Nothobranchius furzeri: one gene and its partners. The protein of the gene in region 1 purifies or fractionates together with the protein of each later gene. This does not show direct contact. Links are inferred from orthologs where the notes say so. Each region holds a gene or a part of one and is shown in the gene's direction. Other genes may lie near its edges. The genes, in order: ccnd1, cdk5, cdk1 and cullin-1.

What was found.
Region 2: the proteins of ccnd1 (region 1) and cdk5 purify together in Homo sapiens (co-immunoprecipitation; 4 studies listed by BioGRID and IntAct, counting the BioPlex papers as one, with this or other methods). This does not show direct contact. The link is inferred for Nothobranchius furzeri from reciprocal best matches to the Homo sapiens genes CCND1 and CDK5.
Region 3: the proteins of ccnd1 (region 1) and cdk1 purify together in Homo sapiens (affinity purification with mass spectrometry; 4 studies listed by BioGRID and IntAct, counting the BioPlex papers as one, with this or other methods). This does not show direct contact. The link is inferred for Nothobranchius furzeri from reciprocal best matches to the Homo sapiens genes CCND1 and CDK1.
Region 4: the proteins of ccnd1 (region 1) and cullin-1 purify together in Homo sapiens (affinity purification with western blotting; 4 studies listed by BioGRID). This does not show direct contact. The link is inferred for Nothobranchius furzeri from reciprocal best matches to the Homo sapiens genes CCND1 and CUL1.

Annotation. Positions count from the first base shown.
Region 1 is NC_091749.1:21,574,208-21,581,972, forward strand, and holds the start of ccnd1 (G1/S-specific cyclin-D1), read left to right. Parts: upstream 1-3,407; 5' UTR 3,408-3,584; coding exon 3,585-3,782; intron 3,783-4,486; coding exon 4,487-4,702; intron 4,703-5,188; coding exon 5,189-5,348; intron 5,349-7,765. UniProt on the Homo sapiens protein: Regulatory component of the cyclin D1-CDK4 (DC) complex that phosphorylates and inhibits members of the retinoblastoma (RB) protein family including RB1 and regulates the cell-cycle during G(1)/S transition.
Region 2 is NC_091751.1:49,902,685-49,910,630, forward strand, and holds the start of cdk5 (cyclin-dependent kinase 5), read left to right. Parts: upstream 1-3,403; 5' UTR 3,404-3,540; coding exon 3,541-3,577; intron 3,578-3,869; coding exon 3,870-3,958; intron 3,959-4,030; coding exon 4,031-4,098; intron 4,099-4,183; coding exon 4,184-4,244; intron 4,245-4,327; coding exon 4,328-4,384; intron 4,385-4,477; coding exon 4,478-4,573; intron 4,574-4,708; coding exon 4,709-4,783; intron 4,784-7,253; coding exon 7,254-7,350; intron 7,351-7,946. Other genes in the region: abcb8 (mitochondrial potassium channel ATP-binding subunit), read left to right, coding at 807-840, 934-1,070, 1,146-1,240, 1,321-1,454, 1,545-1,692, 1,773-2,023, 2,116-2,199. UniProt on the Homo sapiens protein: Proline-directed serine/threonine-protein kinase essential for neuronal cell cycle arrest and differentiation and may be involved in apoptotic cell death in neuronal diseases by triggering abortive cell cycle re-entry. Interacts with D1 and D3-type G1 cyclins.
Region 3 is NC_091752.1:60,133,737-60,141,030, forward strand, and holds part of cdk1 (cyclin-dependent kinase 1), read left to right. Parts: intron 1-467; coding exon 468-591; intron 592-1,090; coding exon 1,091-1,261; intron 1,262-1,345; coding exon 1,346-1,509; intron 1,510-4,767; coding exon 4,768-4,909; intron 4,910-7,294. UniProt on the Homo sapiens protein: Plays a key role in the control of the eukaryotic cell cycle by modulating the centrosome cycle as well as mitotic onset; promotes G2-M transition via association with multiple interphase cyclins.
Region 4 is NC_091747.1:63,543,557-63,550,850, forward strand, and holds part of cullin-1, read left to right. Parts: intron 1-1,606; 5' UTR 1,607-1,810; coding exon 1,811-1,950; intron 1,951-3,938; coding exon 3,939-4,113; intron 4,114-4,185; coding exon 4,186-4,353; intron 4,354-6,216; coding exon 6,217-6,267; intron 6,268-6,350; coding exon 6,351-6,441; intron 6,442-6,621; coding exon 6,622-6,785; intron 6,786-6,863; coding exon 6,864-7,026; intron 7,027-7,090; coding exon 7,091-7,221; intron 7,222-7,294. UniProt on the Homo sapiens protein: Core component of multiple cullin-RING-based SCF (SKP1-CUL1-F-box protein) E3 ubiquitin-protein ligase complexes, which mediate the ubiquitination of proteins involved in cell cycle progression, signal transduction and transcription.

The DNA of each region.
Region 1 (7,765 bases):
CGTGAGGGTATCGCACTGTTGAAGCAGCGCTGCGAGCAGCTGCGACCCAAAAAGTATCAGAACCGCTCACGGCACATGCGCAATCCTGCATCAACGCCGCTCGCTCGCTATTTCCCTAATAACACACGCTGTTCGTTTTTGTTTCTACACGTTTTTTACTCACAAAGATTGTCAAGAAAGCGTGTTTGTCGTGTTCATGTCAAATTAAACTGATCACTAAACACAGATTTACTTTCTTTATTTCGTTTTCCTCATCCAACCCCCATAAATCCCTGTGTGTCCTCCTGCAGCACTCCCGAAGGACAACAGGCAAAACAAGACCAAAAAGTCTGACGTGTTGTGTAAAAACTGCTATTTTTAGCATATTTTTAGGGCCGACGTGTTGCTACCAGACGTACAGTGTGAGCAGTCAGATCACATACGAGAACTGGGTCGTACAGTGTGAGCACATGACTCGTGAGATCTGCCCTGCGAGGAAGTCGTACAGTTTGAGCTGAAGCTGAACGCTGCGAGTGAAAAAGTCGCACAGTGTACGCCCGGCTTTAGTGCACCCATAGATGTGTGTGTGAGTAGCTAGAATATGACGGCTTCATGTGTATGACAAAAAATAAGTAACTCAACGCACAAATTAATCTGATAGTAAATAATAAAAATAAGGGTATTATTATTATTAGCAATAATAATAATAATAATAATAGTAATGATATTAAAAATACTAAAAATGATTTAATTTTAATGATATAAATATAAAAATATTAATGCTGATAATGATAAATTATTAATAACAATAACAATAATAATAGTAATAATAATAATGCTGATTATGATGATGATAATAATAATTATAATAATAATAATGCTGAAAAACTTATAATAATGCAGATCATGCTGATAATAATATAAATAATAATAAATAATAATAATAATTATGTGTTTGCTGAACTTACAGCCATTTTCCCTCAGCTTTCTCCGTGTCTGGTTCGATGATGTCACTTGCGTGAAGCGCATTTGTAGTCCTGGACTTATTTTCACACAAAACCTAAAATATTGTCCCCCCATTCGAAAATAAGTGCATTCTTGGTATCAAAATGCATCTTTAAAATTCACGGATATAATATGTGAAATCCACGGCACAAAACAAGCAGAATTAGAAAATAGCATTTTATCCCCGTTGATTTGCACACATACACATACATGTATGTATGTATGTATGTATGTATGTATGTATATATATATATATATATATATATATATATATATATATATATATATATATATATACATATATAAACTCTCAGCAAGGAGGTTGATTTAACCTGAAAGTTAGTATGGACCAAAGTGCTAAAAAAATAAACAGCTGACCTTCCTTTGTGCCATAGTTTGTTGTGCTTTAAGCCAACAACACTGTGAGTTTTCACGTTTTTGAACGTTTTAAAGATGAAATCAAAAGTCAACAATGCAGCTACTATCACAGTTAACCCTGAACTTTTGTCCTCCATGCGGCAGCCCTGGCATTACTTTCTATTTGAGAGACTGATGTGGTCAGCAGTATGAGACTGCCTGCTGGCTTCCCACTGTCTCTTTAACCATCTACTTATTGTTACCATAAAGCTGCTGAAAGAGCCTCACTTCAAAAGTCACATGCTCCAGCTCCCTTTGTTTCCCACAGGATCTGAATGTGGGACAGAGAGGACATGACTCAAACAAGAGGACAGGATCAGACTACAGCTGGTGGGAGATTTTTTGTTTGAAGTCACTGCAAAGTTATTTCCAAGTAATACTACAACTACTACCACTACTACTACCACACTGTAGTGAGTCCTCTGACTCTGAAAGGTGCTATACAAGTGTAAATCATTTGTCATTTACTACTACTACTACTACTTATACTAATAATAATAATAATAATAATAAAAGTGGTTATCAGATGAAGAGTTTTATGAATGAATGAACAAAGGCGACCAAACAACAGTGGGCTGATTGTGTTTTATCTCAGCTCACATGCGAATCAGAAAGGATCTCATAACATCTCAATATTTCAATGAATCAGAATATGAATCTTAACAAGATTCCAAAGTAAAATGTGAAAGTGAGAGGTTCTGGTCAGAGCGACCCGGGACGCTTCACTCGCAGTCAGGAAAGTGTGTAAACTTCTGTTTTCATCATTGTACGTTTTTGTGAGTGTTTTGAGACTGTTGTTTTGAGATTGTCATCACATAAAGCACAATAAAATGTATTATTGTTATTAAATTTATTATGATGTGTTTCTGTTTGGAGTTGTGTTGTTTTCTTTACCCTGACAACAACAAAGTGAGCCTTGAGGACAGTGGCCAGAGAGGAGGCTCTATTCAGGCATTACGGTAGTGAATCCAGCAGCCAGAGAGGAATTCCAGGAATGCTCAAAGGCTCTGACTCAAATTGAAACTAGACTTGGATCTTCTGAGTTTACACAGCAGCTGTGTCCACGAACAAGTTGGTTCTGATCCAACAAGCTCTCTCACCACTAATATGTTCTACTGGCTGAATAAAGCAGCTCAAAGAGGAACATCTGTGTCTAAAGATCCAGTTCACACTTGGACTGGGTCAACCACCATCACCCAAAACAGGATTCTGCCTGGTAACAGCAGGTCCTCCCATTGGTCCAACCCCTGTGTGTGTGTGTGTGTGTGTGTGTGTGTGTGTGTGTGTGTGTGTGTGTGTGTGTGTGTGTGTGTGTGTGTGTGTGTGTGTGTGTGCGCGTGTGTGTGTGTGTGTGTGTGTGTGTGTGTGTGTGTGTGTGTGTGTGTGTGTGTGTGTGTGTGTGTGTGTGTGTGTGTGTGTGTGGATCTAGTAGGGTTAGGGTTCTGAATGGAGGTCTCATTTTAGTGATGTCACATGTTCTGGACCATGTGGTTCCTGCTGATCTGAACCCAGTAGGGCTCACAGGGAACCTAGCAGAATCCAGTAGAACCAAAACTCCACCAGTAGGTGTGAACTGAACAGAACCAGGGTCCTCTGTGGAACTCAGTACCAGAACTACAGAGTTGGACCAGTACTCGGTCTAGTTTTGGGTCGTGATAAGGTGAGATGAATGAGTTACTCCCCCCTCCTCCTTGTGTCCTCTGCTGTTCATTCACACCGAACCGAACCGGCAGCAGGACAAAGGGGGAGGGTCACTGCCGCCCCCTGCCGCCTGTTGGGCCCGGAGGCCCGGTCCCAGACCTCCCACCTCCTCCTAGGGCTAGAGGGAGGAGGGCTCTTCCTGCTCGCGCGCTTGCAGACCGCTTCTCTTTGATCTCACCTCCTCCCACCGCGGCCCCGCCCCTTAACAACAGCCTACGTCACCCGCCTTTACTTGTTCCCAAGCGAAAAAGCCGTTTGTGTGTGGGCGTACAGACACGCGCGCGCAGGGAGGTGCGCGCGGAGGTTTTGTTCGCCAGAGCGAGGCGGTCCGGACCTCAGAGGACTCGCGCACACCAGAGGGGCAGCAGCACACGGAGCAGCCCTGACACCGGGATTCAAAAATACCAGATAGAAAAGACACCGGGCCGGTTCTAGCAGGACACTTGTACCGAACCGGTTCTCTCTGTGTTCCGAGCCAAACCATGGATGAGCAGCTGCTGTGCTGCGAAGTGGACTCCATCCGGAGAGCCTACCAGGACGTGAACCTGTTGAATGACCGGGTCCTCCGAACCATGCTGCGGGCCGAGGAGAACTACCTGCCGGCTCCGAACTACTTCAAGTGCGTCCAAAAGGAAATAGCTCCTAAAATGAGGAAGATCCTAGCGACCTGGATGCTGGAGGTGAGTTTTGATTGTCCCTGGGAATGGTTCCGGTTCTGATCCGGCTGCCCCATCCAGCTCCGGTTTGGACCCGGTCTGGACTGCCGTACCGAAGGCAGTGAGGTCGAACCGATCCGGATTTACTCCAGAATTCACAGTAATGTACACGTATGCAGTCCGGCCCAGCAGGTCCGGACAGTGCGCCATCTTTGCCACCGACGAGATAGGATTTAAAGTCCGTTAAAACCAGTCAGACATCAGCCAGAACCGAGCCGGACCCACCAGGCTCCACAGAAACCAGACCAACTTCAGTTCCACTGGGTCTAAAACTGTCTTGGTTCCGAACGGCTCCGCTGAGGATGGCAGACCAAAAAAAAAAAACAGTTTTAAAGGATGAAAGGGTACCAAATGGGTCTGAAGGTTCGGCTCAGTGTCTCCGGTGTTCTCACGCGTCTGCAGAAAGACTCGGTCCTATTCTGGTCATTTTTATTCATTTTACAAGCTGCCTGGACCGGTCTGGTCCGGACCCGAACCGAGCACGCGAAGGAGCCTCGTGCCCAAACCCAACAGGTCCCGAGGGGCCGGTGTGTCCGAACGTACCGAGTTCTGGTGATTAAAGTGTGTGTGTGCGTGTGTGAGATAGAGAGAATGTGTGTGTGCGTGCGTGTGTGTGTGTGAGACAGTGCGTGTGTGGAGGACTCACCTGTCCGCTCCTCTCCCTTCAGGTGTGTGAGGAGCAGAAGTGTGAGGAGGAGGTCTTTCCTCTGGCCATGAACTACCTGGACCGGTTCCTGTCCGTGGAGTCCAGCAGGAAGAGCCGCCTGCAACTGCTGGGAGCCGCGTGCATGTTCCTGGCGTCCAAGATGAAGGAGACGGTTCCGTTAACGGCGGAGAAGCTCTGCATCTACACGGACAACTCGGTCCAGCCCGGAGAGCTGCTGGTAAGGGCTTTAGGACCGTGTGGGAGGCTGCTGCAGGCACACCAGCAGATCAGGTGTTTAGAAGAAGAAAAAGTTTCTCATTTAGCAAACATCAAGATAAAGAATCACGAGGCTCTTCACAAGAGCCAACAATAAATACTAATATAGAAAATAAAGTAAACAGGAGAGCCTGAGAGAGACAGAAACACCAGCATGAAAAGAAGCCAGTGAGGAAGAAGAGGAGATCAACCTCATCTTCATCACTAGCATCTTTTTTGAGGTGTCAAAAACCAGAACAAAGGTCACGTCACACTTCACCTGCAAGGTTGTCCTCTCCTCACGTGTGTCCATCCCACCAGAAGGTTGTGGGAGATGGAACAAATAGTGTTCTTCTGGAGCGTCTGACAGGCTTGTCTGGTGGTCTACACTGACCCCTAGTGGCCGAGAGGTGCAGCAGCAGGCAGACGCTGAGTTAACGTCTGATTGGTTGTTCTGGTCCACCCACAGCAGATGGAGCTGTTGGTTCTGAACAAGCTGAAGTGGGACCTGGCTTCAGTCACGCCTCATGACTTCATCGAGCACTTCCTGTCCAAACTGAAGATCCATTTGTCCACAAAGCAGATCCTCAGGAAACACGCCCAGACCTTCGTGGCTCTCTGTGCTACAGGTGGGTGCTGGACGTCAGGATTCAGGAGTGGATCCACACACACACGCACGCACGCACACACACACACACACACTAGTGTTGTCAAAAAAATCGATACCTAGATATAAATTGATACTAAAAGTGGTATCTAAATTAGATATTCCATCCCTGTGGTATCGATATTATGGACTATTATACACAGCCTTCTTCAAGTACACCAACACGCACGACAGCCAGATGCCGTAAAGAAGCCTCCGCCTCCCAGACAAACAGAAGAAGAAGATGCCGCATGGCTACATTGCAATTTCCCACGCGAGTTGTCTCCGATCCAAGTTTTGTCTGCCAAATAATAAACAAAAACATAAACAGCGAATTTGGGAGGCGCTTCACAGCCCAACTTCATTAGCATACCAAGTCCGACACGTAGTTGTATATTCACGCTTATGTGCTTAAAGGAAAACTCCCATTTATTGCAACCCGGACTTAATTTCTAGCATGCAGTACGTTTGTTTACTCACGCTGACAACTTTGGTGCTACTTGGATTCTCCGGGGTATTTAGATCCATCGGCAAATCGCCATCAGCGTATATCCATATAACGGGTGCGGACGGGCACCCATGGTGCAGCCTTGAAATAAGACATTATCTGCACCAAAACATCTCTATGTCGAAAGGTTTAGTTAGGAATCATTAACATGATTCCCCTGTTCGTTTGGAGCGGGTCTAGGATTTCTAGGCGTGAACAGACTAGCCGCGGCTAATCTAACCGGTGCTTTTAATTACGTCACTGCTGTGCGCCAATCTGTTTTTATTAAGATTACCGGTAGATGTACCTTTGTCCTACTGTGGAGAAATTCGTTTTCTCCCTTTATTGACCAACAGAGTTGTTCAAAAGTACAGAACAAAACATATGGCATTACATCTTATGACAAAAATGCACCTTAAACAGAGTTTAAGCAGCAAAACATCACTCTGCAAATAGTGTGTATATAGTGAGACAATTCATGATTTAAAGTGTTAACTTTGGCCAGTTTTTGTATGCACTTTTTAAAAAATGCTGATACTTGAAAGGTTTAAGCACTTAATACAATTAATTCTTAACATTTAATTTTTGCAATATAAATTGAGGAATTTTATTTTTTGAATAAACTTGTTCAATAAATTGGTGTTTTTAAATAGTATCGAAATCGAGCATCGAGTTTTTTCCAGTATCGAATCGAGTTTGAAATTTTAGTATCGTGACAACCCTAACACACACACAGACACACGCACTGTCTCTCACACACACACACACACACACACACACAAGCTCACACACACACACACACACACACACACACACCAGGGTTCCCACTCTATTCTTGAAATTATTTTCAAGACTTTTTCAGTGTACAAGTCAAGTTATCATAACTACGGTTTGCCGATATCCCGTTATATTTAGAAACAGATATGATATTGTACCTACCTACACCGTTATTTTGACAATATAGTTGGGGAAAGATTTTTGTCTTTCACAAGCCCACCTGCTTTCCTCTACTTACAATGCAACACAACTAAAGCAGAAGTTATTCTCTACTTGAGTTCATACCAGAGGTGTGACATTGTGGCATCATCAAGTCATCTCCATGTCCTGTTTTTGTTCTGCTCAGCAATTGAACCAGGTTAATCCACTGTGCTGAATGAAATCGTTGTCGTCTTCCTCCGCTTATCCGGGTCTGGGTCGCGGGGGCAGCATCCCAACTAGGGAGCTCCAGACCGTCCTCTCCCCGGCCACCTCCACCAGGACCCCAAGGCATTCCCGGACCAGATTGGAGATGCAACCTCTCCAACGTGTCCTGGGTCGACCCGGGGGCCTCCTGCCGGCAGGACATGCCCGCAACACCTCCCCAGGTAGCTCCTAACCCTATCTCTAAGGCTGAGCCCGGCCACCCTATGGAGGAAACTCATTTCGCCACTTGTATCCGCAATCTCGTTCTTTCGTTCATTACCCAAAGCTCATGACCATAGGTGAGGATTGGGACGTAGATCGACCGGTAAATCGAGAGCCTGGCTTTCTGGCTCAGGTCCCTCTTCACCATGACAGATCGGCTCAGCGTCCGCATCACTGCAGATGCCGAACTAATCCGGCTGTCGATCTCCCAATCCCTCCTACCCTCACTCGTGAACAAGACCCTGAAATACTTAAACTCCTCCACTTGAGGTAGGACCTCTCTTCCGACTCGGAGTTGGCAAGCCACCCTTTTCCGGTCGGGAACCATGGTCTCATATTTGGAGGTGCTGATCCTCCTCCCAGCCGCTTCACACTCGGCCGCGAACCTACCCAGCAAGAGCTGAAGGTCAGAGCTGGATGAAGCTAGGAGGACCACATCATCCGCAAAAAGCAAAGACAAGATTCTCCTGCCATCAAACTCGACAGACCCCACACCACGGCTGCACCTA
Region 2 (7,946 bases), on another chromosome or scaffold:
TATTATTCCTCCCCTACGTGAAATTTAGCCTGTTTCTAAATTCTCCAGAGTTAGAAAAATGGAGAAAGTCATTTTGTAACCAGATGGCAGCATTTCATTAGCTTTAGCTTAGCATAAACAATGTAAGTGAATGGTAGCAGCTAGCATTTTGTGTGAAAACATCATAAAAATGACTCATTAGTGATCCTCAGTTTTTCTTGGTGACCCTTAATAACCTTATTAACTGCAAATGAAAATAAGTAACATGAAGGAATTTTAGGAGTCGATTTAGATTTGGGACTACATTATGGCAAAGCAGCGCTGCAAGCCGCCGCTGCAAGACGCAAGGATACGTTGCAGCGGCCACAAAAGACACCTGCTTCTGTAAACACAAATGCGTGAGCCGCACTGAGTTTTTACTGCCGTTGTTTGAATGGGTTACATTTCTAATGCGAGAAAATGGCTCTTGTTTGTGTAGCAAAGGGATGCAAAAACATGCAGCTTGTTTCACAGAATTCCATCCAATGTGGAACAAAGATAACCGCTTGCTGCCCTGGGAATTCCTCCGTCAACACCCGTGGAGAAAATAACTCAACATCTGGTTTGCAAGGAGCATGTCACACCAGAGGACAAGAGTGAAAATTTAGGATCATTACTTTCCCACAGCATGCTAGCTGTTACCATTCACTTACACTGTTTATGCTAAGCTAAAGCAAGTGGAGTGCGGCCCGATTAGGAGAATTCCAACTCTGTGGAATATGGCAACAGATAAAAGTTCATGAAGGGGTGGAATATCCCTTTAACAAACGCATCTCATTCATTTCCAGGTCCTTAGCAAGTATTTCCATCCTTTTCGGACAGGTCAGTACCACTAATTAATGCTATATATTGTTTATACATCATATTCGGTTTTATTTGGAGCCAAGCTGATGCCGTCTATAACATTATTCACAGGTGGTGAGAGGAATAAGCTCCGGGGCTCGGGTCTTTGAGTACCTCTCTTTGCAGCCAACCATCCTTCTCTGTGGAGGAGGACGAATCCCATATCATTCTCTGACTGGAAGAGTGGACTTCCTGAACATTTCATTCAGGTAGAATTCCTCTAATATTCAAGACACTTCAACACAATATCAGGATATTTAATGAGTTAAATAAAATGTTCATAGTTATCCAACGAGACCCGGCCACGAAGTCCTGAAGAAGTTTAACTTAACGCTGCCGCCCTGTAAAACCGTGGCAGTTGTCGGCGAATCTGGAGGAGGTGATTTTAAACGCTGGCTGGTTTCCTGTTAGAATATAAAGTTGAATAATTACTGGTTGATAAATGTGAAACCCCCGTAGGAAAGTCCACCGTGGCTGCCTTACTGGAACGTTTTTATGACCCAACAAGTGGTGTGGTCATGTTGGACGGGCTTGATATCCGAACGCTGGACCTGTCCTGGCTCAGAGGGCAAGTCATTGGATTCATTAATCAGGTAGAAAGTGCAATCAGTTAATTATCTGAGCATGAGTATATATACAGCTTTTGTTTAGGTTTAAACTTATGTTCATGTGCTGTTTCAAAGGAACCTGTTTTGTTTGGATCTTCCATCATGGAGAACATCCGCTTTGGGAAGCCAGACGCCACAGATGCTGAAGTCATTAGTGCAGCAAAGCAAGCCAACGCTCACCGCTTTATTACCAGTTTCCCAGATGGTTATAACACCACGGTCGGTATGTGGGTTTGTTATCCAAACCGTCACGTTCAGGTTGGAAATTGTGTTGCTTGTAAATTCTAAAATCCAGGTCTCCAGGTGAGCGAGGTGTGACGTTGTCAGGCGGACAGAAGCAGCGCATCGCCATTGCCCGAGCTTTGATCAAGAACCCGAGCATACTGGTGCTGGACGAGGCCACCAGCGCTTTAGATGCAGAGTCTGAACGAGTGGTCCAGGAAGCTCTGGACAGAGCCACACGAGGCCGCACTGTTCTCATCATCGCCCACAGACTGAGCACCATCCAAGGCGCCGACCTCATCTGTGTCATGAGCAACGGTCGTGTTGTCGAGGTGAGGAGGATGCGTATCCAAGGAAGCAGAGGGACTCTGACCTCTGATTAAATGTCTCAGTTTATTAAAAAAGATGTTTTCTTTCTTTGCAGGCTGGGACACATTTGGAACTACTGGGCAAAGGAGGACTCTACTCTGATCTGATCCGCAGACAAAAAGCCGAGGGGCAAAAATAGACACAACAGTTTGTTTCCAGTAGACCAGTTATATATATAAAAAACATTTGTTTATTAAATAACATCAAATGTGTAGTACATTTACCTGCTTTCAGTTTAGCAGCAGCTTAGCTATACATTTTAAACAGTTTGTGTTTAAGTATTAATGGACCAATGTGTTTATTTCAAAATACACTACTGTGCAGATAAATTAAAATAAAAATATAGCCCCTGGGTTTTTGTCTATCTTGTATGGAAAAATAGTACATAAACATTTAAAAACTAAAACATTATTAAACCGTTTAAAGTATAAAAATTTGAATCTTGTTTTTGTGATCTAACTTTTGGGAACTGCTGTTTTGATGCTTTCTGCGTTTCCTTTGAAATGCTTCAGTTATTTCAGAATGTTCTTTAACTGGTGAATCTTTAAACACAGAGCTCAGATATCCTCTAGCACTAAGAAAAATCTTTACCAAGACACCACACCTAGTATATTTGCTGTCTTAGTAAACAGGATTACAATCTTGTTTACAAGGCTTAACAAATAAAGCGCTGAGGTTTATCGGACTTTGAAATGAGGTTTATTCCATTAGATGGATAAATCAGACTCTCTGGGAAACGTTTAAAAAATACAAATGTAACCTGATGGCTTTCAAGAGAACATTTGCAGTCAGAGATTTGATTTGAAACGATCATCTTACAAATGAGGGGATGCAGTCTAAGAGTGTTTTGTTCAGATATCTGTCTATAATGAATCTTAAATTGTTAGTATGGTTTTATTATCTAAGAGCAGCAATTTCCTAATGTTGTGATTCCTCGCACATGTGACAATAAAATCCTTCTGATTCTAAAATTAATTTGACCCCAGTGGCAGTTAAAATGAAACGTTCATTTTATATTTCTGTCATTTATAGCAAGTCATTTATAGTAAATGTGATTTTTTTCTTTTAAAGTTCAACATGACTTTCCCAGTGGCTATTATTAGATGGTGCTTAGGTATTATGGAGTCAGTATCAAATAACGATGCATTAATCAGAGATAATTAAAACAACAGTTTTTCCTTCTTTTCTTTCGTTAAATATGCTTAACTTAATGGCTTTTTATTTTAGTTCTCACTGAGTTAAATATTATCTTGCCTTTATTTGTTGAAGCTCCAAAATAACATTTTCCGCATCCAGCAGTTCATATTTTGCCCTCTAGGTGTCAGCCAAGAGCGCACCTGTTGTTGCGGTCTAAACAGAACACTGACTCACTGAGCCTAGTATCGGCGTTAGCTTCTGCAATATTCTAGCCACCCCAGGCTCGGGGTTTTGTCCTTCATTTGTTTGCAAGCTTCATCAAGGCTCGTTTCACTCACAGAACATGCAGAAATATGAAAAGCTTGAAAAAATCGGAGAGGGTGAGTTTATTTGGGGCAATATTAGCTTGCTGAAGTAAACGCTAACATAGCATCAATGCTAGCTCAGGGCTTGCTGAATTAGACTTGTGTATATGCTATATATTTTGTTATTCATATGCATAGTACTTAAATTTAATGCAAATCTGCGTGAGTTTGCTTTATAAACGTAAGCCGATTCCTATAAATTTCACGGTGCCAGTAACAGGCTAGTGGTGGGTATGTAAATAAATAGCTAACTAGCTGCTTTGGCATTCATCCGGTTTGTGACAACTGGACATTATTTATTTTGTAGGTACATATGGGACCGTCTTCAAGGCAAAAAATAGAGAAACCCACGAAATAGTGGCGTTGAAACGGGTCAGGCTGGACGACGACGACGAGGTTGGTATACTAAAATATAGATAGACGCTAATGTTTAGCTTGCTAGTGCTAACCCAGATAGGTGTTTTTCAGGGAGTGCCAAGTTCAGCTTTGAGAGAAATATGTCTTCTTAAGGAATTAAAGCATAAGAACATCGTCAGGTCTGTTTACCCAGAGGAGTTAAAAAGCAGCATTAAAATAATAACTTGATGCCAAAATGAATCATCTGATTGTTTTTCTCTCCAGACTACATGATGTGCTGCACAGTGACAAGAAGTTAACCTTGGTTTTTGAATATTGTGATCAGGTTAGTTACTAGTTTTCCAAATATTCCCCCTCCTTTTAATATAGACATTATGTTGCTAAAGTGTGTTTTCTTGTCCAATATAGGACTTGAAGAAGTATTTTGACAGCTGTAATGGCGATCTAGATCCAGAAACTGTAAAGGTGACATGAGACATGACACCTGGTTGCCTTGATAGTTACAGGTTAAATTGATTGTTACTAAATTTAACTTCTATTCTTGAATTCCCTCTGCAGTCGTTCATGTACCAACTGCTGAAAGGCCTTGCTTTCTGTCACAGTCGAAATGTTCTTCATAGAGATCTGAAGCCCCAGAATCTCCTCATCAACAGAGTAAGTATCAAATCAGGAATTATGCTCTTTTTGTTACGCAATGCTGAATTCAATGTTCATTAAAGAACCACAGCTAAATGCTGTGCTGGTGGTGGGATTAATAAAGAAATGTATAAATTGTTTCTTCATCTGTAGAACGGAGAACTGAAGCTAGCTGATTTTGGGTTGGCTCGAGCCTTCGGCATTCCTGTCAGATGTTACTCAGCAGAGGTAAGTTGGACATTAGAATTTTTTTTTTAAAAGTAGGGGAAATTTCTGAATCTGTTGCAAGAGAGAAGCCAAGATGATTTTATTTGCAATTTTTTATACAAGTGAGATTTAAAATCTAGAAATTAACTAAAATGTAGTACACATAGAAATATGTGTGGGTTGCTTTCACACTATGTTTGACATTAAACTGAGCAACAAAGACAGATCTGTGTCCCTCTGTGTGCATATAAATGTTAAGTGGGTTGTTCAGAGGGACGTGAAATTTTAGAAATTTGTTTATTATCTGAAAAAATGATAAGACTGACCTCAGGACCAAGCTTTTATGTATGAAAGGCTCAACCAGAGTGACACTACAATGTAGAAATGTGGCAAACTGAAAACTTAAAACACTGAGAGTTTGAAATTAGGTCATTTATAAGATTGTTTTATTTCAGAAAACAAAAAGATCATACCTCTGTTTGACAAAATGTGACAAATTATTTTTATATGCAACATTTACAAAGAGTTGGGAAGTTTTTCTTGTGTTCAATCAAGTCTAGCTGAGATTCCTGCATATTTATGGAGGTTGGAGGTTTTTTATGGAACTGGAATTGAGACAATATGTAACTTGTACCCAGCTTTGTAACCTGTAACATGTTTTGTAACTGTAACTTTTATTTTGTAACTTGCAGAAAACAATCAATGTACAAATTTCAAATTACAACTTTCAACACACAAATCTCAGTCTACAAGTACAAAACATTTTGTCCAAATTCTAGCTTCCTTCCCAAAGAACCAATGACAGGCTTTGTCTGACCAGCCAATCATGAGTCTTGGATTCCTTTTCAAATAAAATTCCTGTTTCCTGCAAGCTAGAATTGTTCCTAAATGTTTTGTATTTGTAGACTTGAGTTTTGTAACTAGACTGAGATTTGTGTGTTGAAAGTTGTAATTTGAAATTTGTACATTGTTTTCTGCAAGTTGCAAAATGAAAGTTTCATGGTATGTACCGAAGTTAAGCCGGGCGTACACTGTGCGACTTTTTCACTTTTTTGAGCCGATTTTCCAGTCGTGCGAGAATCCACGACATCGGGGCGAGTTTTGCGCCGAGCGGTCGTGTAGTGTGCAGGGGGTTACGAGAGGCGATTAACACCACGTGACCAGCCGCCGATCAGCAGTCGTGAGGTCGCAGGGACTTCTGGTGTGTTTAATATTTTGCTCATCCCTCGTGAGGGTATCGCACTGTTGAAGCAGCGCTGCGAGCAGCTGCGAGCAGCTACGATCCAAAAAAGTATCAGAACCGCTCACGGCGCATGCGCGCGCAATCCTGCATCAACGCCGGCCGGTCGCTCGCTATTTCCCTAATAACACACGCTGTTCGTTTTTGTTTCTACACGTTTTTTTTACTCACAAAGATTGTCAAGAAAGCGTGTTTGTCGTGTTCATGTCAAATTAAACTGATCACAAAACACAGATTCACTTTCTTTATTTCATTTTCCTCATTCAACCCCCATAAGTCTCTGTGTGTCCTCCTGCAGCACTCCCGAAGGACAACAGGCAAGACAAAAAAGTCTGACGTGTTGAGTAAAAACTGCTATTTTTAGCACATTTTTAGGGCCGACGTGTTGCTACCAGACGTACAGTGTGAGCAGTCAGATCGCATGCGAGAACTGGGTCGTACAGTGTGAGCACACGACTCGTGAGATCTGCTCTGCGAGGAAGTCGTACAGTTTGAGCTGAAGCTGAACGCTGCGAGTGAAAAAGTCGCACAGTGTACCCCCGGCTTTACATGTTACAAAATGAAAATTACATTCTACAACGTCATAGTTACAAAACATATTACAAGTTACAAAACTAAGTACAAGTTTAATGTAATATTGTCCCAGTCCTAGTTCCATAGTTTTTTATATGTTGGGACCGGGACTTCTTTACTCATTATTTATCCTATTTCTTCAAACCTTTTAGCAAAACTTCTAAAGAATTCTTCTGCAGCTTGAAGTTAAACACCAAAAGTTACTTCTGTCAGTTTTAAACAAACTCGGTAGTATAAACAAGCACAGCTGTTTCAGGAGAAATCTTGCACCTTCTGTGAAGCTTTTTGTTTTTCTACAGGGTGTTCCTTTACCTCAGTGACACGTTCAGTTCATTCATGTACAAAATGCTGTTTCAGTAACAGGTGGCCACATCATTAACATCAGCATCGCTGTGAGAACTTTTGATCCTTTGTTGCTGAAAACCAGCCAGCCCACACACTGTTCTGTTAATGCATCATAATTTGGACTTCTACTGCACTTCAGGTGACAGTGTTTTCCAAAACTTGGAGGAATAAATGTAAAATAGCCGGCAATGCAGCAATTTGGTCAAATGCACCAACGCTTGAGTTAAAATGGAGGTGGGTGTAGGTTAACGGTGCTGCGGGAACTTCAAGTTGGATTCACCTCAAAAAGCACCAAAACACTGGGCTGTTGTAATGCTGCTAACGTCTCTGCAGGTGGTGACGTTGTGGTATCGACCTCCAGATGTCTTATTTGGCGCTAAACTTTATTCTACCTCCATCGACATGTGGTCAGCCGGGTGCATATTTGCAGGTTTGTTATTTTTTTCCACTTGTGAATGTGAAAGGTAAAGTTTTTATAAGTCATTATTTGTGTGTAAATGGTTAAATATTCATATTTTATCTACTTTAGTAATTTGATTACTATTAGCTAATAATTACAACTGCAGTTTTATCTCATGCAATTCTTTTACTTTGTACAAAATAAAATCCAGATGTATAAGAATGCATGGGAAGTTCAGGTGCAGTAAGCACAGTGGCTTTTTAGCTGATGAGGAGAATTTATTTAGCCAAATATGTATTTTAAGTTTCAGCTCAATTACTCTCAACAGTAGCTGAAGGATTATTTATGCCTGCTTAAGTGAAATCAGTGACACCGTTGATGCTTTAAATTATGCTAACTTATGCTTCCTCACGTCCTCTTGTGAATCAGAAATCATTTCCTCCTCCTCCATCACTCAGGAAAGGGAAATCTCCTCTTGTAATCACCCCAAGGGGATGAGAGGATTCTGAAGAGTAGTTATTCAAAGTTGTGACCTTCCTCACACCTGTCCCTCGTGCCTTCTCTCAAAGTAATTGTTGGGAATATTTTAGATATTAGATATCTTCCCACACAGGAGACTACAACTG
Region 3 (7,294 bases), on another chromosome or scaffold:
TTGTAATCAACGGCCCACATTTGTGGGAGTATTTTGTAGTTTGGTATCTCATAGAAAATGTTGGTTCTGAAAGGAAACTAAAGGTTTTCTGATAAATGCATTTGGGTGTACTCAGTTATGCTGAGCACTGGATATTAACATTTTGTTGGGGTGGCTCTGGAATTTTAGCTGTGGCGCAGCGCAACGGTAAAGTCTATGGAAGGGAAACACTGTTTACTGTTTCAAGTAGGTGTAGTAAATGTTTCTTTTACAGAATAAAAAAGTGATTGAGTCAGAAGAAATATACATATTCCTGCATATTTGACTAGTTTAAGACTAAAATTAAAAAGAATTTTAGCCAAACAACAAAGACTAAAAACTAAATGAAGTTATCTTGTCAAAATAAACGCTGCCAACCTTCAGGTCAAATCAGGATTGAGCAGACAGACATGGTAAACTTTGTCTGTTCTTGTGTTTGTGTTCACCAGACTCTTGGATGTCCTGATGCAGGAGTCTCGTCTCTACCTCATTTTTGAGTTCCTGTCTATGGACCTGAAGAAGTACCTGGATTCCATCCCCTCTGGCCAGTACATGGATCCCATGCTGGTCAAGGTTAGTTCGCCAGGGGGGTTAAAGCCCAGGGGTCTCATTTATCAAACATTGCGTAGAATCCGTACTACAACTGTACTTAAGCTCTGCAAAAAAAAGTACTTACGCCAAGTAGGTTTGTGATCTATCAAACATGGAGTACCCACAGCTGCACGCAATCTCCGCTTCATAAATCGGAGACTAACGAGAAAGGTTCTCAGCTGCTTTTTAGTCACATCCCGCCCTCACCACGCCCACTTACTGCCATAAATGGTCAATGCAAAGTGCCTTGTGGATCTCATGCATATACAAGTGATAATGCTGCTGTAATTCATAATTGTATCCTTCTCAGAAGCAGCATTGCAGGTGCTCTCCATGTCCAAAATGAGCATAAGTTTTTCTGCTAAGTTTTCGTGGAAAGTTGCAGTTTTCCGACCCCGTTTTGTGCGTAAGCAAGCTTGATAAATGAGACCCCTGGTTCTCCTGTTTAGATGGGGTTGTACATTAAAGCTTCTCTTTCCAGAGCTACCTTTATCAGATTTTGGAAGGAATTTATTTCTGTCACTGCCGTCGAGTCCTCCACCGGGATTTGAAACCTCAGAACCTGCTGATTGACAACAAGGGTGTTATAAAACTGGCAGACTTTGGCTTGGCTCGAGCCTTTGGTGTTCCTGTCAGGGTCTACACCCATGAGGTGAGCATCTTTCACACCAAAGCCATAAATCCTGGACAGCGCACAGCTGTCAGCTTACTTATGTTACTACTCTGCTGTCCTTAGGTTGTAACTCTGTGGTATCGCGCTCCAGAGGTCCTTTTGGGCTCAGCCAGGTACTCAACCCCTGTGGATGTTTGGAGCACTGGAACTATTTTTGCTGAGCTTGCCACCAAGAAGCCGCTATTCCATGGAGACTCAGAGATAGACCAACTCTTCAGGATTTTCAGGTATATCCAACAAATTTCCAGTTTAATAATGGAATCGGGTAGCTTATATGGTTGCAAGGATTAAGCGATTTGACTACTGACCACGGTGTGAAACGCTGCAGTGTCTTCAGTCAGAGGCTTCTTCAGTTTGGCTGCAACACTGACCGCTACTGGAGATCCTTCCTGCCAACAGCCCTTGTAATATACAATAACTCTGATGACTTGATTATTATTATTATTCTGAGCTACTTGTTAGGTTTTAACTTATGCTTTACCCCTTACTTTAAGATGCTAAGAGGACAGAGAAAAGATAAGAACAGATGAGAAAGAAACCTGGGTATAAAAATATTTTCCTTATTTAATTAAAACACACATTATTTTTGTTACACAGCTTACACTTGTTCTTGGGGCTGGAGGTTCTAACAAATGCCACTAGACACAGCCCAACTACGAAAAAAAAGGTACCAAAGGAAAATCACAGCTTTTAATTAAAAGCTGGAAAACAGACTATAATCAACAGATCTCAGGTAGCTTTTAAAATGAAATAGTTACATAGGCTGGTACGAGTTTCTACGGGTTTCTATAAGCCAAAAGCTCTCTGAAGCCAAACAAAACGAACCTTTTAAAGAACAGAGAATTCTTGGTTTTCTGTCCAGGCAAATATACCAGTGTGAAGCAATTGGCACTAAATACTACAAACCACTGACTCAAGCTTAAGCAGAATACCATGCAGAGGCTTTCCTCTAAACACGCGCACGTAATCACAATCGTATTCTACAAAGTCAGGGTGTCCAGAACGGAGCAGAAAAGGAGACTACTCATGGGTTAGGAGTAGCTCCTCGGGCGTGTATCCAGCGTTCCTTTTATCCCCTCACGGGAACAAACACACTCAGTCCAAGATGAGCTGCAGGTGTGGCTGCAGCAATTCGGAGCGGGGACTTCCCAATAGCACATTGACGCTGATGATTTTGACCATCAGAACGAGTTTACAGTTATAGTCTCAGCAGGTATAGTCCTGTAGTCCAAAAACAAACACTTTTTGGAGAAAATATGTTTGAATTTTCAAAGGAAATGTAAAATAAAAGCAAAGATGTCAACTGATAATCAGTGACCCTCAAAAGCTCTTGATTTTGATTAATCTAAAAACTTTATTGAAAAGACACCAAGCAAAATTTTAAATGAATGAATGTATTTACATGACAACTAAGGAAATATACGGATTAATTCCACATTAATACAAACAGATACAGCTTCACATACAAGAACTGTTGTTTTTTGCAGGGGTGGACCTTTAAAGCGCCCGAGCGCCAATGGCGCAACATTTTCTCGTCGGGCGGTAAATACTTGACGACTTACCGCCCGGGTGGCGCCCAAGCCTTATTTGTCATTTACACACCGGCTTTCACCTACATCATGGCCCCGCCCTGTAGGAAGCTGCCGTTTTCGTTTGGCGCGCGTGAACCTGCGCGCCTCTAGCCACGTACTGCACGATTCTAGTTATTGTCACGTGAACTATAAGTTCACTATTAAAGACGAAGTGGAATCACGCTAGAAACACACAAGCACGCAGGAAGATCGCGCCACCACAGGGATTGGATTTCTTGATGAAATCTCCGGCAAAACGCTTGAAAACTGGTGAGGAGAAGCGAGACAGTTCGAAACGGTATGAAGCAGAGAAGCGTGTGCATAGGTGGAATGATTCTTGGCGGTTTAAAGAAGACGGGAGGCGCAGAGAATGGGCGTGTTCGAGTTGAGCAGCGCCTCGCCTGGAACACAGACGAGAGCAGACGGAAGCAGCAGGGGGAGTGGCTGAAAGCCGGCGTTTAACGCCGGGGACACACCGGCCGCGAAAGCGCCCGAAGCGAATCGCTCACGAAGTCCGACCGCTGCTCGCCGCTCCTCAGTTCAGAAGCGCCCCATTCGAGGCGCGCCTCGGCTCAGCTATAGTTTTTCTTTTATCTACTTGGTGTCCTCCATTTCCTCAGCTCTTTTCCTCTACGTGTGAGCGAGAGAGAGAGCGAGAGAGAGAGAGAGAGAGAGCGCGCGCGCCTTTGGTGTGAACCAGTTGTTTCTGCCAGTTGAATCTCTTGGACTTCCCTGTATGTGTACCGCCTTGATCTCACGAGGTTATCGTTGCCTACGTATGCATGACGTCAGAGCAAGTCGGCGTCAATTTGGACACAAATCTAACCGGCATGCACTGCTCGCCGATCACCGGTGATCTAATCTGCACAGAACTGGCTCATCTCGAACACAGTCAATGGCTCGAGTACAGCAAAGCGGAGTTGGTGATGTACTGCGTTGTATGCCGGAAGTATGCGACGACAAAATCTTGTTTTGTTGAGGGAACAAACAAATTCAAACTTGAATACGTTATTATGTTTGTGAATGTGTACAAAATAAAGGTTTATTACATTTAAAACTGTTCAGTTGTTATTTTGACTCGTTTTGGCAGCTGACCAGCGGGGCCGGTAAATATTCAGAGTTACCGGCCCGGCTGGCCGGTTGGTTTTGAAGTTAATGTCCACCCCTGTTTTTGGGCAGTCTGATGTTGGTTTTATGTAGTTTCACATTCTTTACAAAACAAATACTTTGATGCCGTTAAACAAATAACGAGCTTCTCATTCTCTATCGACCTCCATCTTGGATTGCTATGAAACAGTGGCTCAACAATAGAAGCGTGAATCTGTGGTCACCAGGTGTGCAACCATACTTTTCGCACAAATCGTGCTGTTTTCCACCTCACACTAACTCCTACGTCCTGAAACAGGAGCATCGGGTTTTTTCCTACAGAGAAAATCTCACAAGCCATTCATACCAGAGACCATAGAAGATTTATAGAAAAAACGTGTTTCAATCAACAGCTGGAGTTTTGGAGAAGACAAACATTCCAGATGTGTGTCCTAACACACGGGTCAGGACCCAACCCACCATCTGCTAACAGTTAGTGGTGTGTGAGAGAAGCTTGTATGATAACATACTAATGCTAGTAAATGGCTGTAAGGGGGTTACAGTAGCAGCATCAGGTTTGTGTTGATTAGACTCATTGCTGACAACCAACTAAAAAGGAAATGGCTGCTTTGACAGAGGAAGATGATGAAATAAATGTTTGAAGAGCTTTTCTGGCCCTCAGCCAATCACAGATTGAGGTGTTAAATTTGGTCAATGCCCTAGGACATTAGGACATGTAGTTGGGAGGCTGGGATTGAACCACCAACCCACTGAGCCACAGGTGGCCCAGACCATTTCATTTATTTTGTCCCCCCTTTTTTTCTCCAGGACACTAGGAACCCCAAACAATGATGTGTGGCCTGACGTGGAGAGCCTCCCTGACTATAAAAACACATTCCCCAAGTGGAAATCTGGAAACCTACCATCCATGGTGAAGAACCTGGACAAGAATGGATTGGACCTGCTAGCGGTGAGGATGAAGAGTACACTGAACTTCTAAGATGTAGTAATGGCCTGAGCTGGATGGGAGGAAAGTCGAGCATGGATCAACTTCTAATATTGGAACTGGGACCAAAACATATTAATCACAGATGAATATTTGCTAAGTACAGGGATTTTAGTTGGGACTGTTTTGGTTGACAAGGCTCTGCAGTATCGCGTTGAATCTGGGGTGGTTCCATTAGATCGGCAGACTGGGGTGGTGGTTTCCCATATTTAAGAAAGGGGACTGCAGCGTGTTTACCAACAACAGGGGACTCACACTCCTGAACCTCCCTTGTAAGGTCTGCTAGGGTGTTCTGGAGTGGAGGGTCCGTGGGATTGTCGAACCTCAGATTCAGCTGGAACAGTGTGATTTTCATACTGGCGGTGGAACACTGGACCAGCTCTGTACCATTAGAGGGATGCTGGAGGGTGTGTGAGGGTTTGCCCATTCAATCCCAATGCGTTTTGTAGATTTGGAGAAGGCATTCGACTGCGTCTCCTGGGAGGCCCTGTCAGGAGTACTCTGAGTATTGGGTACCAGGCCCTTTGATATGGGCGGTGCTTTTTAAAAACGTGCTCATAAAGAGTACAGTAAGCTGATTAAATAGGCCCATCCCAGGCAAAAGCTGATATATACCAAGTCTGAGGATTGCTGTAAAGTTCTGTCGCAAGTGTAGATATATACTTCCGGCCACGGACCCGGCATTAAATTTTACTGAAAAGGTATTAAATGTCACTATGTCAAACCTGGAGCTACCCTGTGAGAGTCGTAGCACCCCTCAGAATACGCACGAGTGGTTGAAGAGATGCTCCCTAGGAGAAATGAGTTGTCTTGCAGATTAAACAAATAATTGGTTGATTCTGAAAAAGGACGGTTCTTTATGCCGCTAAAATGATATTCCGTTGAAAGGTCTGGTTTGATCTCCCAACGAGAGGTTAATTTGGCATGAAGGCTGGACACCCTGCTGAACTGCCTTAGGAAGTGCTTCCTCTTTTAAGGGTTCATTGTTTCTAAGTTTTGGACAAATCACAAGCCGAAATTGTAATGACCATTATCCAAGTGTCCTCGGACATCCCTTTTCTCAGACACTTAGAAAATCTTATGTGAAGTAAATCTGTTAAAAATCCAGCCGCAGAGTGTGGAGCGGCTGGGATAAGAATCAGCTCCTCTAAATCCAAGACCGTGGTCTTGAATCGGAAAAGGGTAGAATGTAGGGCGGCCACAAATGAGTATTTCAGTAGTCGACTAATCGTGTCATTCATAAAAGTTTAGCTTATTGCACCAGGATGCCAGGGGTGGACATTAACTTCAAAACCAACCGGCCAGCCGGGCCGGTAACTCTGAATATTTACCGGCCCCACCAAGAATCTACCGGCCCCACTGGTCAGCTGCCAAAACGAGTCAAAATAAAAACGGAACCGTTTTAAATGTAATAAACCTTTATTTTGTACACATTCACAAACATAATAACGTATTCAAGTTTGAATTTGTTTGTTCCCACAACAAAACACGATTTTGTCGTCGCATACTTCCGGCATACAACGCAGTACATCACCAACTCCGCTTTGCTGTATTCGAGCCATTGACTGTGTTCGAGATGAGCCAGTTCTGCGCAGGTTAGACCAGCGGTGATCGGCGAGCAGTGCATGCCGGTTAGATTTGTGTCCGAATTGACGCCGACTTGCTCTGACGTCATGCATACGTAGGCAACGATATCCTCGTGAGATCAAGGCGGCCGCAGATTTTGGAGCAAGGCGCTGCAGCTGCTCTCCCTCGGCTGCAAAACCTAGAGGATGACGGAAACGCCTGGCTCTCACCTGATCTAAGATCTGATTGGTTCATATTTTGATCCAAACATCCGGTGGTAGAACATGAAATGTTAGTTGGTCACATGTATTCTGTAAATCATGTTACGCTGATAATAACAACAATATAGGCCATAAAGAGAAATGTGTTTTGTTTTCTTTTGTCACGTTTCCTATGAGCACACTAAACCTACAGCTGCTAACCTTTACTTATTATTACAGTCATGTTTTCATATACAATATATGATATCCACAAGCACGTGAGGATGTGTTTCAGCTGCTAACAGGCACCAGAATTAAAATTGAAAATTGAACAAGTGTGAATGCTAACGCGATATCTTCATCCATCGTCACCCCCGAGCTACACATGTAGGAAAATCCAAGAGATTCAACTGGCAGAAACAACTGGTTCACACCATAGTCTCTCTCTCTCTCTCTCTCTCTCTCTCTCTCTCTCTCTCCTCCCTCTCTCTCTCCTCTCCTCTCCCTCTCCCTCTCTCTCCACTCACTCACTCACTCACTCACTCACTCACTCACTCGTAGAGGAAAAGAGCTGAGGAAATTG
Region 4 (7,294 bases), on another chromosome or scaffold:
ATGTTAGCAGCTAACGAAGTAAACGTACCGAGGCGACTCTTTGTTCTCCGCCATGACGTGCTTCCTCTGGAGGTCCTCGTGCGTCGCTGCTGTGCTCCCGTGAAAGGAGACTTTCACTCTACAGACCTTTCTTTGGTCTTTGTAACCGTTTTAGCTACGTTGCTGACTCACCGTGTTTTCTTTCTCCGGTGATGAAGGCTGACCTGGATGCCCGCTACTGCGCATGTGCGTTGATCAGAGACGCAGGAAGAAACCACCGAACGTGCTGCGGCAGGCGAGATTTAAAAATGTTAATAAAATAAACAACGCGTCGGCTATTAGATGAATAGTCGACTTTTGTTTGTCAACATTGTCGTGATGAGTCGACTAATCGTGGCAGTCCTACAGATGACACGAATAACCGTCTGATCGTCGCTGATGTGCTGTTAGCATGAGCTCATCACAGAGAAGTTCCTCCTTCTGCTACCTGTTCAGGTTTCATCAGGATCGGATCCTGGAGCAGCAGAGTCTTCAGGTAGAGGAGGGATAAATCTGTGGCGTGCTGACTCGGCACAAACACACAGTGGTTTTGTTTGTGTCTGAATGTAGGCTATCAGACCGCACACACGGTTACCACGGTAATCAGATTTACTCAGCTGACCTTCTTCCTCACAAGCTCCTCACGTCTGTTCCTGAGCTCAGGTTCAGGAGTCGGGAATGGAAACCAGTTACCACAGACCAGAGGGGCCAGGGCCCATTTAAGGCCACCAGTAACAAAGAGAGCACTCGTGGTGGTCTTTACTCTGGGAGGTTCTGGTGCTCCCTCGCGGAAAAGTTTATTTTTGTTGTTTTGTTCCTCTGAAGCGTTTTGGATCAGTTAGGAAGTTCAGCTGCTGGTCACTAAGGTTTTATCACTGGTGTGTTACAGTAACAAAAATGCCCCGAAATCCCAGAATAGATCAGCACCGTAGCGGCGCGCAGCCGCCAGCTCCACGGCCAGCTGCACCGTCAGCCCAAAGGAAGTTCAGGAAACATCAGAATGAATTCCTGTCGGCGTTCCCAGTGTGAGTCAGCCGGAGTATTAACCCCAGCTCATGGAAAACAACAGTAACTGTCTGGCTTAGTGACGCAGACACGAGGATTTATCACCACAGGGTTTACAGCTGCAGCCAGGTCAGGGGTCAAAGGTCATCAGGAACCAGAACCGGTGTCTCAGCTTCCTGTCCTTCCCTGGAGTCTGGGACTGGCATCAGCACCTGCTGCTGCTAAATATAACACACACGCACGCACGCGCACACACACACACACACACTGCATAAATGAGCAGTTAATCTCATCAGTAACGTATGAAGTCTTGGATTATGTTCCTGCTGCAGCTGTTTCCTCTCAGATTAAAGTACAGCGTTATGCTATAATCCCGGCCATCGTTACCTGCTCTGTTTACCTGTGGGATGAAATGACCTGGTTCAGGTGTGAGCTCTAAACATCAGCTGCTAGCAAAGAAGTGGAATAATCTGAGTTTAGCTGAGTGACATGAGGGTGGGGGCAGGGTCAGAGGCAGGGAAACCTGTGGAACTCGCCTGGTTACACTCGATTCGTCACATGATTCATGTGTTTCATCTCTCAGGTCCCCTGGTGAAGACGGCACCACCCAGGGGTGTGGAGTGGGACTGCATCTTCTCACAGCCAACAGCCTCCTGAAGCTCTTCTGCTGTTGCCAGATGGACCTGGACCTGTAGGGCAGCAGCGAGTCAGGACTGAAATCAGCCGAGGAGCGGAGCGGCGCGGCGCGGGAGCAGGAAGGGCAGAGGAGAGGACGAGGGGCTCCACCATGTCGTCCAACAGGGGACAGAACCCTCATGGACTGAAACAGATCGGTCTGGACCAGATCTGGGATGACCTGCGGGCTGGAATCCAGCAGGTGTACACGCGGCAGAGCATGGCCAAGGCCCGCTACATGGAGCTCTACACGTATCCTGCCGGGCCTCCACCCAAACCCAGTTGCATAGTGGTTCTGTTTGTTTACAGTAGTGTCACACCAGGCTCAGAGGGAATAAAACAAACATCAGGAATGTTTCAGAGATCCCAATCCGTGTCCCCGACGGTCCCGACCCGCAGAGGGACGGACTGGTCCAAAAGTGGTTCTACAGCCGTTTACGTGTTTAATCTGCACCAGAACGTTCTCGCAGCGTTAAACCGTGAAGCACCTTTAAAGCTGCTCTGGACAATAAATGAGTTTGAAACATGTTTTCATGCCTCTAACAGCGTTCCAGCGGAGTAGCTATACAAACGTCGTCATGGAGATAAAAACAAAGTGGTCCTCTCACTGTGTCTAAAAACCTCCACCAACTACACGACTCGGACCAAAACCAACCACCCACCCGGGTCCCTGGGTCCTCCACTCATCACCACAGGTGGAAAGAGTACTCAAAGTTCCTACTTAAGTACGAGTACTAATACTTTGATAATTTTTTACTCAAGTAAAAGTAAAAAGTATCGTAAACAAAATGTACTCAAAGTAACATTTTTGTCAGCGTACATCTACATCCAAGTAGTGCTAATTCACAACGCCAGTTCACAATTCACTCGTGTGTCTGCGCGCGCACACACACACAGCAGCATGTTAGAATCATGTGAATGACTAATTTAACTACACTGAACTACTTTAGTAATAATTTAATCTCTTATTCTGGAGTAAAATAAAGAAACAAGCTAAATCATCACATATCTGTGGCATCAAGGAGCATCTTCTGAGTTCAAACACAGGGATGGAGCACAATGTTTACACCTGAACAGTATCAGGATGTTTTAACTCACAGAGGCCTGCAGGTATCCTGTTTTATGAGCAGAGCGCTGAGAATCTGCTTGTTAGGAGCGCTAAACGTTATTTTGCCGCTGCCGTGCGGAGCGGTAGGGAAACACGTTTCTAACACGGAACCGAGTCCGGCTACCGAACCGAGCAGAATTGTGACCGAGCAGAATTGTGATGACGTCACACCGGTGCGTGAAGGTGCGGTTCCAACCCAGAGAGGAGGTGAACAGCGCGTGGATCACAGGGACTGAACCGATGTTTTAGAGCAGAAGTGTACCCCCCCCACCCCCGGTTTAGAGGCGGTGCTCATGCAGGTGTCTCTCTCCGTTCCGACGCTGCTACACGTAATATTTTTAATTTATTAAGCCTATAATTCATTTTTACTCAGTAACGGATATGATTTAAAATTTAGCGAATTACAATTCTTTTTTAAAAACGTACTCAAGTAAAAGTACAGATTTTAAAAACGACTTAAAAATTATAAATATACAAAAAAACTACTCAATTACAGTAACGTGAGTAAATGTAATTCATTACTTTCCACCTCTGCTCATCACACTCACGTATTCAGCAGCACACCGCAGGTGTGTAAGGTCCTCCACTCAACAACACCAGAGTAGGAGAAACAGCCGCTGCTACCGCTTCAGCTGTGGGACAAACTACCAGAGTCCCAAAGAGAAAAACAGACAACAAAAGTCGTTTGGACCTAGAAAGCGGTGACTGGTGTTTAGCGCTATCTCGCTTCCTCCAGCATCGCAGGTTTCTGGTTGGCGGACGCGGATCCAGGGAAGATACCTGAGGGTGGGGGGGCGTGTCTGCTTGTTCTGTAGATTTGCTAAAGTAGCTCTAGGTTTGAGCTGTGACCAGAACCTGAACCAGAAACCAGAAGTTTAGTAAACGTAACAGGTTATTATAAAGTCTCAGATTTTCAGAATAAAACCAGATCAGAACTGAGTTTATGGTAGAAACTAAACAGCTGTGTGGTACTTCCTGTCTGCGTCCTGGTTTGTCTAAAACTAGGAAGCAATCACTTCAGCAGGTTTTATTTATTGGTTCTTTAACCCGTAGAGACACGACGTTTAACACCTTCATAACCATCCCGTTCCTCACCTGTAGAGACCCACAGAGTTCCTGAACTGCTCCTCAGACATGTATATAACTATTGCACCAGCGTCCACCAGTCCAGCCAGGTCAGAGGCCCCTTGGCTCCAGCCAAGCCCTCCAAGAAGTCCACCACCCCGGGAGGGGCTCAGTTTGTGGGGCTGGAGCTCTACAAGCGACTCAAAGAGTTCCTGAAGAACTACCTGACCAGCCTGCTGAAGGTCCGTCCAGCCTGACGCTCGTCACGATATCGAGCTGCAGCTCACTGGTCTAACTGCTGCGTGTCCCTGCAGGATGGCGAGGACCTGATGGACGAGTGTGTGCTGAAGTTCTACACCCAGCAGTGGGAGGACTACCGCTTCTCCAGTAAGGTCCTAAACGGGATCTGCGCCTACCTCAACCGCCACTGGGTCCGACGGGAGTGTGACGAGGGCCGCAAGGGCATCTACGAGATCTACTCGGTAAGGTCAAAGGTCACCCACACCCTGTGTGTGTCAGTGAAGATCTGATAGCCGACCTGCCAACCTGTACTTATTTTACGTAGCAAATGCGCAACATCTAAATACGCCCGTACGACTCACCCCTCTAAAGTACGCCAAAAGCTGCAGGCACGTGAGTTCTGTAGCGGATGTGCACGCCTGGTGCTCATGTCTGCAACACGACGCAGCAGCCTGGCGAAGAAGTTTTAGCCAATCGTCGTAGAAACGCAGGAAGAATATTTTTGCCTAAGCTGTAGCGTAACACCCCCGCCCCTCCTGGACCAGAGTCTACATTAGCAGCTAAACCCAGAACAGACGGCTGGTAAATGTAAAACCCTCAGCAGGTCAGTGGAAGTCCAAACAAGGCAACTTTCTTCTGTGAGTTTGGATTCTCGTGTCGGCAACATGTTTTTCAGTCCTTCAGGTTTATAAACGGCTACGTTTAGTTCAGGAGTTTATTTTGGTCACCCATCAAATAAAACGTTTTATAACTAGAGCAGATTAAAGATGCAGGAAGTAGAAAAATGAGCTGGAATAAACCTTTCCATATTAGAAACTAGAAAGGGAACTAATTCAGTTTAACATCCGGTGAGCGGGAACATTACAGCGTGGAAAACAACGGAGTTGCAACGGTCTGCAAAAACCGCTGCACATGTGGTACTCAAAGATTATTACAAGGTTGGCAGGTCTGTGATGGGTTTAGGTACAATCAGTAAAGTTCACTAATGAGGGAATACAAATCCTCTCTTATAATAAAACAGCAGTTTCCTGATCCTCCCCCTACTGGTGGAAAGTGGAATTACAATGGTCTTAAACAACCCTGCAGTTGCCTGATGTAGCTAGCGCTAACAACGAGCTAACAGATCCACACTGTTGGACAAAAGTATTACTTACAGGTCCTGTAGCAACAAGGCCAGGTCACCATCAGTCTGTGATGTCATTGCCACGAGACTAGCGTAGGTCATGCCGATGTTCACTCTGGTTTTAGCTCTTTGCTTCACCTCCGCAGACATTACTCTCACTTCCAGCCTCCGCAACGATGCCGACAGAGAATGCAAACTTCTCCTTCTTGTGCTTTTTATTGACGATCGATGAATTGAAAAGGCTAACTGCTAGCCTGTTAGTAGCTACCCACATAGATAAAGGCTAAATGCTAGCCTGTTAGTAGCTACCCACATAGATAAAGGCTAAATGCTAGCCTGTTAGTAGCTGCCCACGTAGATAAAGGCTAACTGCTAGCCTGTTAGTAGCTACCCACGTAGATAAAGGCTAACTGCTAGCCTGTTAGTAGCTACCCACATAGATAAAGGCTAACTGCTAGCCTGTTAGGAGCTACCCACGTAGATAAAGGCTAACTGCTAGCCTGTTAGTAGCTACCCACGTAGATAAAGGCTAACTGCTAGCCTGTTAGCCTTTATCTACGTGGGTAGCTACTAACTGCTAGCCTGTTAGTAGCTACCCACATAGATAAAGGCTAACTGCTAGCCTGTTAGTAGCTACCCACGTAGATAAAGGCTAACTGCTAGCCTGTTAGCCTTTATCTACGTGGGTAGCTACTAACTGCTAGCCTGTTAGTAGCTACCCACATAGATAAAGGCTAACTGCTAGCCTGTTAGTAGCTACCCACGTAGATAAAGGCTAACTGCTAGCCTGTTAGTAGCTACCCACATAGATAAAGGCTAACTGCTAGCCTGTTAGTAGCTACCCACGTAGATAAAGGCTAACATCCGTTAAGCTAGGACCCTGACCCGCACCACCAAACTGTTTCTGGGCGACAGACGGCGTCCCACATGAGGCTGGTAAACACACACACACACACTGACCTCTGACCTCATGTTTCTGCAGCTGGCTCTGGTCACGTGGAGGGAGTGTTTATTCCGACCGCTCAACAAACAGGTGAGTCTTCTAGACGAGTCGGAGATGAATCAGCTGTTATTTCTAAACGTTAACCCCCCCCCCCACACCACCACCACCACCAGGTAACAAACGCCGTTCTGAAGCTGATCGAGCGCGAGCGGAACGGAGAGACCATCAACACCCGACTGATCAGCGGAGTCGTCCAGTCCTACGGTGGGTCTTCTGGGTCGGGTCAGAACTTCCTGGGTTTCATTTATTCATCAGGTTTTTACCTTCATTCTGGGTCGAGTTCTGCTGCTCAGAAATGGGTCGGGTTTCAGCAGAACTTAGTCTCTGTGTGGGCCAAAGTGAGGGTTAAACTTGTGGTTCTGCTGGTTCTGGTCTGTCCTCCAGTGGAGTTGGGTCTGAACGAGGAGGACGCCTTCGCCAAAGGTCCCACGCTCTCCGTCTACAAGGAATACTTTGAGTGTCAGTTCCTCACCGACACGGAGCGCTTCTACACCCGGGAGAGCACCGAGTTCCTGCAGCAGAACCCGGTCACCGAGTACATGAAGAAGGTGAGCCCCTGCAGACGTCTGGAGGTGAGCGGGTTCTGGTGTCCTGGTTCCGTCTAAGCGAGTCTGCTGGTTCCTCAGGCAGAGGCCCGTCTCCTGGAGGAGCAGCGCCGCGTTCAGGTCTACCTCCACGAGTCCACGCAGGACGAGCTGGCCCGGAAGTGCGAGCAGGTCCTCATCGAGAAGCACCTGGAGATCTTCCACACAGAGTTCCAGAACCTGCTGGATGCCGACAAGAACGAAGGTGAGGCTGGGAAACATCATCAGAGATTTTTGTGTTTAATGGGTTCTGGTTCCGTCCGCTCCAGATCTGGGTCGGATGTACAACCTGGTGTCGCGGATCACCGACGGTCTCGGAGAACTGAAGAAACTTCTGGAGACTCACATCCACAACCAGGGCCTGGCCGCCATCGAGAAGTGTGGAGAGGCTGCGCTCAACGTACGCAAACACTTTGTGAACCATCGGGACCCGACAGAACCTGTAGGACCAGGAGTTCTTTTATGGATCGGTT